2 linked regions of the Callithrix jacchus genome follow. Each later gene encodes a partner of the first gene's protein in a complex. Links are inferred from orthologs where the notes say so. Each region holds a gene or a part of one and is shown in the gene's direction. Other genes may lie near its edges.

Region 1 (3,995 bases):
TGCAGTGGTACGATCTTGGGTCACTGCAACCTCCGCCTTCTGGGTTCAAACAATTCTCGTGCCTCAGCCTCCTGAGTAGCTGGTATTACAGGCATGGGCCACCATGCCCAGCTAATTTTTCTATTCTTAGTAGAGATGGGGTTTCACCATGTTGGCTAGGCTGGTCTCAAACTCCTGGCCTCAAGTGATCCACCCATTTCCATCCCCCAAAGTACCAAGATTACAGGTGTGAGCCACCATGGTCGGCCCCTCTTTGTTTCTGGTAAGTGATGCTCTAACTAACTGATTTATTCTTCCTGTACAGTTTTGATGGTGACGACTTTGATGACGTGGAAGAGGATGAAGGGCTAGATGACTTGGAGAATGCCGAAGAGGTCAGTATTCAGCCTCAGGCTCCCACCTCTGCAGCCCAAGCTGCCAAACAGTCTGGCAGGTGACAGTAACCTGAATGTATCTGCCTTCTGTTTGTGTTCAGGGCCCCCTACCCGCTGGCGTAAGCATTCCCAGTTAGAGTGAGCTGTGTTCCAGTCTTGCACAGCAGAACAGCCCTGTGGGCTAGGCCTGAAAGCTTTTGTCCATGTGGTCCGCAGCCAGTGGCTTCTGGGGCAGTTAGTTCACTGACAAGTTAAACAGCACCTTCCTGCCTCATAAGGTTATTGTAAGGGACATGAGGTATTAGGAAGCAGTCACCTGGTCCCCTGGCATGCAGTGAGCATTAATGGTGGCAGGAGCGGTGATTATGATTGTTGTCATTATCACCCTCCCTGTAACCCAAAAATGCCACCTGAGATTTTCTCTCTTTTTTATCTTGTCCAGGAAGGCCAAGAGAATGTTGAGATCCTTCCCTCTGGGGAGCGACCACAGGCCAACCAGAAGCGAATCACTACACCATACATGACCAAGTACGAGCGAGCCCGCGTGCTGGGCACCCGAGCTCTCCAGATTGCGTGAGTGATGGCCCCTTCACTGTCCTCTGCATCTCTCAGACCATAGTGAGCTCCTGAGCCACTGATCTTGCCCAGCCCAGCACCTGAACGTAGACTCTCCACTCTCACATTCCAAAGGTGGTGCTGTCCCTGTGTACCAGGCATTGTGCTAGGCCCCTGCCCTCAGGGAGCTTGTGATCTAATAGGAGAACTAGGACTTGAACATCTGAGAAGTCAGGTAACAGTATGGGAGAAAAATGATACAAAAATCAGAACTGGATGGTTGCCCAGCAGATTAGTGAAGCAGAAAAAGCGTGAAGTCAGAGTCAATGTGTACCCGTGTTTTTTTTTTGTTTGTTTTTTGAGATAGAATGTTGCTGAGTCGCCCAGGCTGGAGTGCAGCGGCACAATCTCAGCTTACTGCAACCTCTGCCTCCCAGGTTCAAGTGATTCTCATGCCTCAGCCTCCCAGGTAGCTGAGATTGCAGGCATATGCCACCAAGCCTAATTGTTGCATTTTTAGTAGAGATGGGGTCTCGGCATGTTGCCTTGGCTCGTCTTGAACTCCCAGCTTCAAGTGATCTGCCTGCCTCTGCCTCCCAAAGCTCCGGGATTACGGGTGAGAGCCACGGGGCCTGGCCATGGTGGTTCTTTTTGCTTTATTTTCCTAGTCGAGGCCTCACTCTGTTGCTCATACTGGAGCACAGTGGCCTGATCATAGCCCATTGCAGCCTCAAACTCCTGGGCTCAAGCGACTTTCTTGACTCAGCCTCCCAAGTGGCTTCAAGCTGGGACTGCAGATGTGTGTCACTATGCCTGGCTTTGTATTTTTTTGTAGAGATGGGGGTCTTACTGTGTTGCCCAGGCTGGTCTTGAACTCAGCCTCAAGTGATTCTCCTGCCTCAGCCTCCCAAAGTGCTGGAACTGAGATTACAAGCATGAGCAACCACTCCTGGCTTTAAGGTGGTTTTTTTTTTGAGATGGAGTTTCGCTGTTGTTACCCAGACTGGAGTGCAATGGCACGATCTCGGCTTACCACAACCTCCGCCTTCTGGGTTCAAGCAATTCTCCTGCCTCAGCCTCCCGAGTAGCTGGGATTACAGGCGCGTACCACCATGCCCAGCTAATTTTTGTATTTTTAGTAGAGATGGGATTTCACCTTGTTGACCAGGATGGTCTCTTCTCTTGACCTCATGATCCACCCGCCTTGGCCTCCCGAAGTGCTGGGATTATAGGCATGAGCCACCGCCCCCAGCTAAGGTGGTTCTTGATGTGAGGTAGACTGTGGCCAGCCCAGCAGACTGGGGGCCCTCCAGCTTGAGAGCACACTGGAGAGATGAAAGCACAGAGTAGTGGTGGGGTTTTGGGGATTTGAAAATCAGTAAACTTTCTCTCTCATGGCTGGGAGAATAAAGATTCAGGAGATAGAGTAGACAGGTGGAGATCCAAGTGTCCAGTGAGTGCAGATGAGTTAGCCATAGGCAGTGCAGGCCTTCAGATGACTACTGAGGTTTGGGGCAGAGTAGAGAATACACTGGAAGCACCCTCTCCCAGCAGATGGCTTTGAGAATGCAGGGACTTTCAAAGAGGTGGGGCCACAGATGCCTGCTTTTCCCCCCAACCCAGGCTCACCTGTCGGAATAGTTACTCCTGCTTTCTTGTGAAGAGTAGGTGAGAGGACAGAGAGGGGTACTCTAATGGTACTCTGTGGGGAAGCATGAGACTGAGGACAGGAGCCCCTCCCCCAGACTCCTTATAGGCTGTTGTGGGAAATGGTGGGTATCTGGAGGAGGAGGCGTAGTTCAAGTAGGGAAGAGTGGAAATTAGTCTAGAAAGAAAAGCAGCTGGGTGTGGTGGCTCACACCTGTAATCCCAGCACTTGGGGAGACCGAGGCAGGAGGATTGCTTGAGTCCAGAAATTCAAGACCAGCCTGAGCAACATGGTGAAACCCCATCTCTGCCAAAATACAAAAATTAGCTGAGTGTGGTGGTGTGCTCCTGTAGTCCTGGCTACTTGGGAGGCTGAGGTGGGAGGATCACCTAAGCCCAGGAGGTTGAGGCTGCAGTGAGCTGTGATTGCACCACTGCCCTCCAGCCTGAGCGACAGAGTGAGACTCCATTTCAAAAAAAAAAAAGGAAAGCTGGGGCCAGATATGTGGACTCTGTGCTTGCAGGGCAGCAGTGCTCTCTGTACCTCCCTCCTCAGTGTGCAAGCAGCACTGGGCTGTTGTCTCCTCTAGTCCTGTGGGGGTAAAGATGACCATCATGTCTACCTCAATAAAGGTGGGCAACATTGTTCTCATTCATTCCCCTTCTCTGCTCTTCTGAGTGGCATTAGAGCCACACCCAGTAGGATATCTTTTGGTGCCACCAAGGTCAAGATCCTCTGGGCCTGCACCATCAATTATATTAGCCACAAATTGTATGTGGCCATTTGCATTAAGTACAATTAAATAAAATAAGACATTCAATTTCTGTCTCACTAGCCACCCACACTTCTTTTTCTTTTATTATTTATTCATTTTATTTATTTATTTATTTTTGAGATGGAGTCTTACCCTGTTGCCCAGGCTGGAGTGCAGTGGCGTGATCTTGGCTCACTGTATCCTCCACCTCTCGGATTCAAATGATTCTCCCAACTGAGCCTCCTGAGTAGCTGGGATTACAGGTGCCTGCCACCACACCTGGCTAATTTTGTATTTTTAGTAGAGATGGGGTTTCACCATGTTGATTGGACTTTGGGAGGCTGAGGCGAGTGGATCACCTGAGGTCAGGAGTTTGAGACTGTCTTGGCCCATGGCAAAACCCCGTCTCTACTAAAAGTACAAAAATTAGCCAGGCATAGTGGCAGGCGCCTATAATCCCAGCTACTCAACTCAAGAGGCTGAGGCAGGAGAATTGCTTGAACCTGGGAGGCGGAAGTTGTAGTGAGCTGAGGTCTCGCCACTACTCTAGCCTGGGTAAGAGAGCAGACTCCATTTAAAAAGAAAAAGAAAAGACGTAATCCCCAGTCCCCCAGGTGTTTCTGGCGGGGGAGATAGACCTGTGCACAGATACAACCCAAGGCAG
Region 2 (4,553 bases), on another chromosome or scaffold:
CAAGTTCCATTGACAAAGGACGCAGACACACAGATAAGTGAGAATAAAAACTGCCTATGACAATCAGCTCAACAACACATCTCCCTTTGTAAGACAAGACAAAATAACAAGCCATTTCACAGTTAAGTGATAGGCCTTGTCATTCTTCAGCAGTTTGAGTTTTAACCCTTTCGCTATGGTGTTCTCTCCATTACAGAGAAAGGCAGATGGGAGCCTCTTCCAACGAAAGACTACAGCTTCTGTCCTTCACAAGAGAAAATAGTGATGGCTTAATTATTCACAAGTGATCTTAGTTATTTATAGGTGATCTTAATTCTTTTACTAATGCCTCTCAGGTCTCAGGCCGGAAAGTGAGAACCTGGGGTGACATTGTGAGGGCAATGACCCTAAAGCAAGACGCTTTACAGCAGCTATGCCTGCATAAGGGCGACTAGGGCCGCCTCTGCTGTGCTACCGCGTCAGCACTGAGAAAATGCCCGCTGTTGAGCCAGCTAGGGAAGGAGGCGTCCAAAGCTGGCTGAGACGTCTCATTCACCGGGGGAGTTAAGCGAAAACTCCACTCCTCCAATCTCTTGCCTTAGGCCTGACAGCTGTCAGGTAGACCCACAGGCATCCGGGGGCTTATTTGTCTCTATGTGATGCTGTGCTTCAGTGGTCACATTCCATGTCCACTCTCATGTCCTACTTCTGTACCAGGTTCCTATTTTCTTAGAAGAGATAATCAGTAAGAGTAATATAAACTTAATGTCTTTGTTCTTTCTTAACAAGTATGGAAAAGTGCTAACGCATTAGGCTCCTTGCCTCATCCCGGCTCCTAGAAATTCCTGGGTCCGTACCTGTATGATATGTGATGTACTTGACCCTATCACTGCTACGCCCCATCTACCTTTCCCCTGGTTGCTGACCACCAACCACCAATGCCACACCTACTTACCCTGCCCTCAGCTTTGTACTCAAAAAAAGTCAGAATGCGCAGACACGACCGGGGCCACTGCCGGACTCCGCGATCTGGCTGGCAGTGAACCCCCCCCACCCCACGCCACCCCACCCAAACTTTCTATCTCTGTGTCTTATGTCTTTTATTTCTGGTTTCTTTTCTCCACACCAACAGAGAGGGGCTCACAGAACCCTGTAGGGCTGGACCCTGTACCTCCTGACTTCACCCTCACCACTTGCGGTCCCTCAAGAATCCGACTTACCCCTTACAAGCGGCGAACTGTTCCCAAAGCACACAAGGCTAGTTGCGCTCTGCTGAAAGCCCACGTTCTCCAGCGGGACCCAAGGAACACTAAAACTGTACGTCCCAGAACACTTAGCTTTCTTTTTAACTACTCTGCAGCCGCAAAAGGGAAAAACCTGCTCAGGATCAGGGATAGTTGTAGTTCTCTAATCCAAAGAAATCAGTATTCAGCAAAATACAGTTTTCAGGGGGATATCTCCCGGGACTCGGTTCCTGTAGGATGTGAGACAAAGAATAAATATCCGAGGATTGGGTACTGGTGGGAAAATTTGCTGGAAGCGCAGCATTGGCTACGAATTTTGTGCTCAACGTCTCAGCACTAGGGTGAAAGTGAAGCCGCAAACTCCCTTCGGAGAGGTTAGGCTCCATCTCTAAGGCTCCCGAGACAAGGTTCGCAATTATTTATGACGTCACAACCAATTGTCAGCCCGAATGCGTGACGCTCTAGCCGGCTCTAGCTCGCCGCTGAGCGGCGGGCGTAGAGCTGCCGCTCTAGCCCATGGAGTTGGCTCGCTCCTCTCGCCGGCCCCAGGAAAGGGTTGCAAGTCCTTTACTACCCGACGCTAGCTGGTAAGCCATTCCGGGCGTTTCAGCTCCCTGGTCACAGAGGCAGGAGGCGTGCGTGGGAGGAGAGCTCGGGTTATATACTCCCAGGTACTGGGACAGAACTGTTATGACCTCTGTGTTGGGGGGATTCCTCTCTTTTTGTTAATATAACTTCTAACTCCCTCTTCAGGCCTGACCGCATATGCGTCATGGACCTAGCCAGCACTTGCTCCAGCTTTCAGTCGGACTTGGATTTCTGTTCAGAGTGCGGCTCGGTCCTGCCTCTGCCAGGGGCTCAGGATACGGTTACCTGTACTCGCTGTGGCTTCAACATCAACGTTCGGGGTGAGAGGCTTGTACGCAGTGGTCCTGGCGGAGGGTCCAGGGTCGGAAACTTGGGGACCTCAAGATCGGCAGGGGACCCTAGAGCAGGAGATCAGGCAATTGTACATTTGGTCTCGAGATGAAAAATGAAGGAAAGGATATAGGGCTTCCTGGCCTAACCAGTCAGGGGAAAGGGGAGGTTTCCGGTGTCAGCTCCCTCTGGTTGTCTCCATAACCAGTTCTTACTTGCCTGTGCAGACTTTGAGGGGAAGGTTGTGAAGACTTCAGTTGTGTTCCACCAGCTGGGGACAGCCATGCCTGTGTCGGTGGAGGAAGGGCCTGAGTTCCAGGGACCTGTGGTAAGTTAATGAGCTCAATGACTGGCTCCATAAGGTGGGTAGGAAAGAAACGGAGGAATGATTGCAGAGATCTGGAGAGTTGTGTGCCCAAGTCCAAGAGGGAAAAGAGATGTAAAGCATCCATGTTTGAGAGGAGTGATCGCCTGATTCCTGTGGGAAGTGAGGGGATATGAACTGGCCTCCCTAACCCACCGGTTTCTTCCCAGGTTGACAGGCGCTGCTCTCGATGTGGTCATGAAGGAATGGCTTACCACACCAGACAGATGCGTTCAGCAGACGAAGGGCAAACTGTCTTCTACACCTGTACCAACTGCAAGTGGGCATCCCTTCCCCTCCCTCTGCTCAGTCTGTTTGCTAACTAAACAAATCCAGTGATTCTGTTGTTGTTGTTCTAAACCACCATTTCCTTTCGTCCCATTTCTGTGCAGTTCTGGTAATAAGAACATTTGTGGTTGGTTTTTTTTTTTTATTTTTTTTATTACACTTTTTTCTTTTTTTTTTAGTAGAGATGGGATTTCTCTGTGTTTCCCAGGCTGGTCTTGAACTCCTGAGCTCAAGCGATCCACCCACCTCAGCCTCCCAAAGGGCTGGGATTACAGGCATGAGCTACCCTGTCTGACCTACTTTTAGGATATATAAAAGGAAATGAAAAAACAAACAAACAAAAAACATAAGAAGCAGGTATTGTTTAGTGGTCGGCATCTTATACTGCAGTCTTCAACTGCAGTCAAGGTAGCTTTACATTGGAGAAAATTAGTCACGCACGATTTAGGGAACATGGGCTTTCTGAATTATTTTAAGACATCATCTTTGTCTTTGGTGTCCTTCAGTCACTACAGTATATAAAAATGTGATTTTTTAAAAATTCCGTTTGGGATTTGTTGCACTTTCTGAAACTGAGAGTGAATTTTTTTTTTTTTTAATCAGCCTTGGAAAATTATCAGCTATCATCTCATTTAATATTGCCTTTCCCCCATGTTCCCAGTCCTCACATTCTGGACCTCTAATTAGTTACAAGAAGAGAGGTGTCTCTTTTGTCCTCCATTTCTCTCACCCTCTTTTCATATTTCAATCGCTTTTCTCTTTATGCCACCTTCTGGGTAATTTCTTCAGGTCCCTCTTCCATGTCACTAATTCTGTCTTCAGTTTATTTTAAATATTATTTTTTATTATTGCTATTACTTTGAATTCTATTTACTTTTCAAATCTCCTCAATTTTTAAATAATTTTCAGTTCCTTAATCATATTTTAAATTGTTCATTCTTTATATATTTAAAATATTAATTATGGTTATTATAGTCTATGTCTCATAATTCTGATATCCATGGATTTTGTCTTCTGATGCTGCTGTCTTTTGTTTCTGCTCTCTCATGGTGCCTTTTTTCTGTTTTGTGATTTTGTCTATAAATTTGAGTTTTTTAGAACTTGAACTGTAGGAATTCTTTGAGACCTTGAGTGAGTGCTGTATTCTCAGCATTTGCATTTCTTTTCCTTGAAGCACTATCAAGCTGGAATTACTTTAAATAAATTCTTGGCTTCATGTTTTTTGGAGCAGACAGATAGTATGAATTTGAGCTGCAAATCCACGTAAGGGTTAGCTTATGGTTAGAAATTCTCAGGAGAGAGTTTTCTCTCCTGCCTACTAAGACAAATTCCCCTTCTATAGAGTTGAATTTTTTCTTTTCTTGTTCACTTTTACAAAAAAGGGCAGCTCTTTGCAGTTCCCAAATTTATGCAGGGAATCTCCTATCAGACCTTTTACATTTTGTCCCTCATTTCCTATGCTTTCAGTGACCGTCATAACAGTATTAAGGGCACCATAGTGTCACGTTTCATTGGGACTTCAGTTTTCACTGTCTGGATTTCTGGTTTTGCATAACTTTTACCAGTGTGAAGTTTGCCTTTACTTTCTCACCATCTCATCAATGGATTAAAAATATTCACAGTCAGATATATCTTTTAAGAGTATTTTTTCCTATCGCTGGTTGTCATTTTACCAAAAAAAAAAAAAAAAAAAGATTTTTTTTCCCTGACTGTGGCTTGCCTATTTATTTTCTTAACCCTCTTTAAATGAGCAGAAGTTT

What was found.
Region 2: POLR2F (region 1) and POLR1H share a complex: the UniProt entries of both Homo sapiens proteins name them as parts of the pol I pre-initiation complex. The link is inferred for Callithrix jacchus from reciprocal best matches to the Homo sapiens genes POLR2F and POLR1H.

Annotation. Positions count from the first base shown.
Region 1 is NC_133502.1:208,959,125-208,963,119, forward strand, and holds part of POLR2F (DNA-directed RNA polymerases I, II, and III subunit RPABC2), read left to right. Parts: intron 1-304; coding exon 305-374; intron 375-816; coding exon 817-947; intron 948-3,995. UniProt on the Homo sapiens protein: DNA-dependent RNA polymerase catalyzes the transcription of DNA into RNA using the four ribonucleoside triphosphates as substrates.
Region 2 is NC_133505.1:34,798,223-34,802,775, forward strand, and holds the start of POLR1H (DNA-directed RNA polymerase I subunit RPA12), read left to right. Parts: upstream 1-1,696; 5' UTR 1,697-1,739; coding exon 1,740-1,810; exon of another isoform or gene 1,811-1,976; coding exon 1,977-2,131; exon of another isoform or gene 2,132-2,209; intron 2,210-2,368; coding exon 2,369-2,469; intron 2,470-2,675; coding exon 2,676-2,785; intron 2,786-4,553. UniProt on the Homo sapiens protein: Core component of RNA polymerase I (Pol I), a DNA-dependent RNA polymerase which synthesizes ribosomal RNA precursors using the four ribonucleoside triphosphates as substrates. Can mediate Pol I proofreading of the nascent RNA transcript.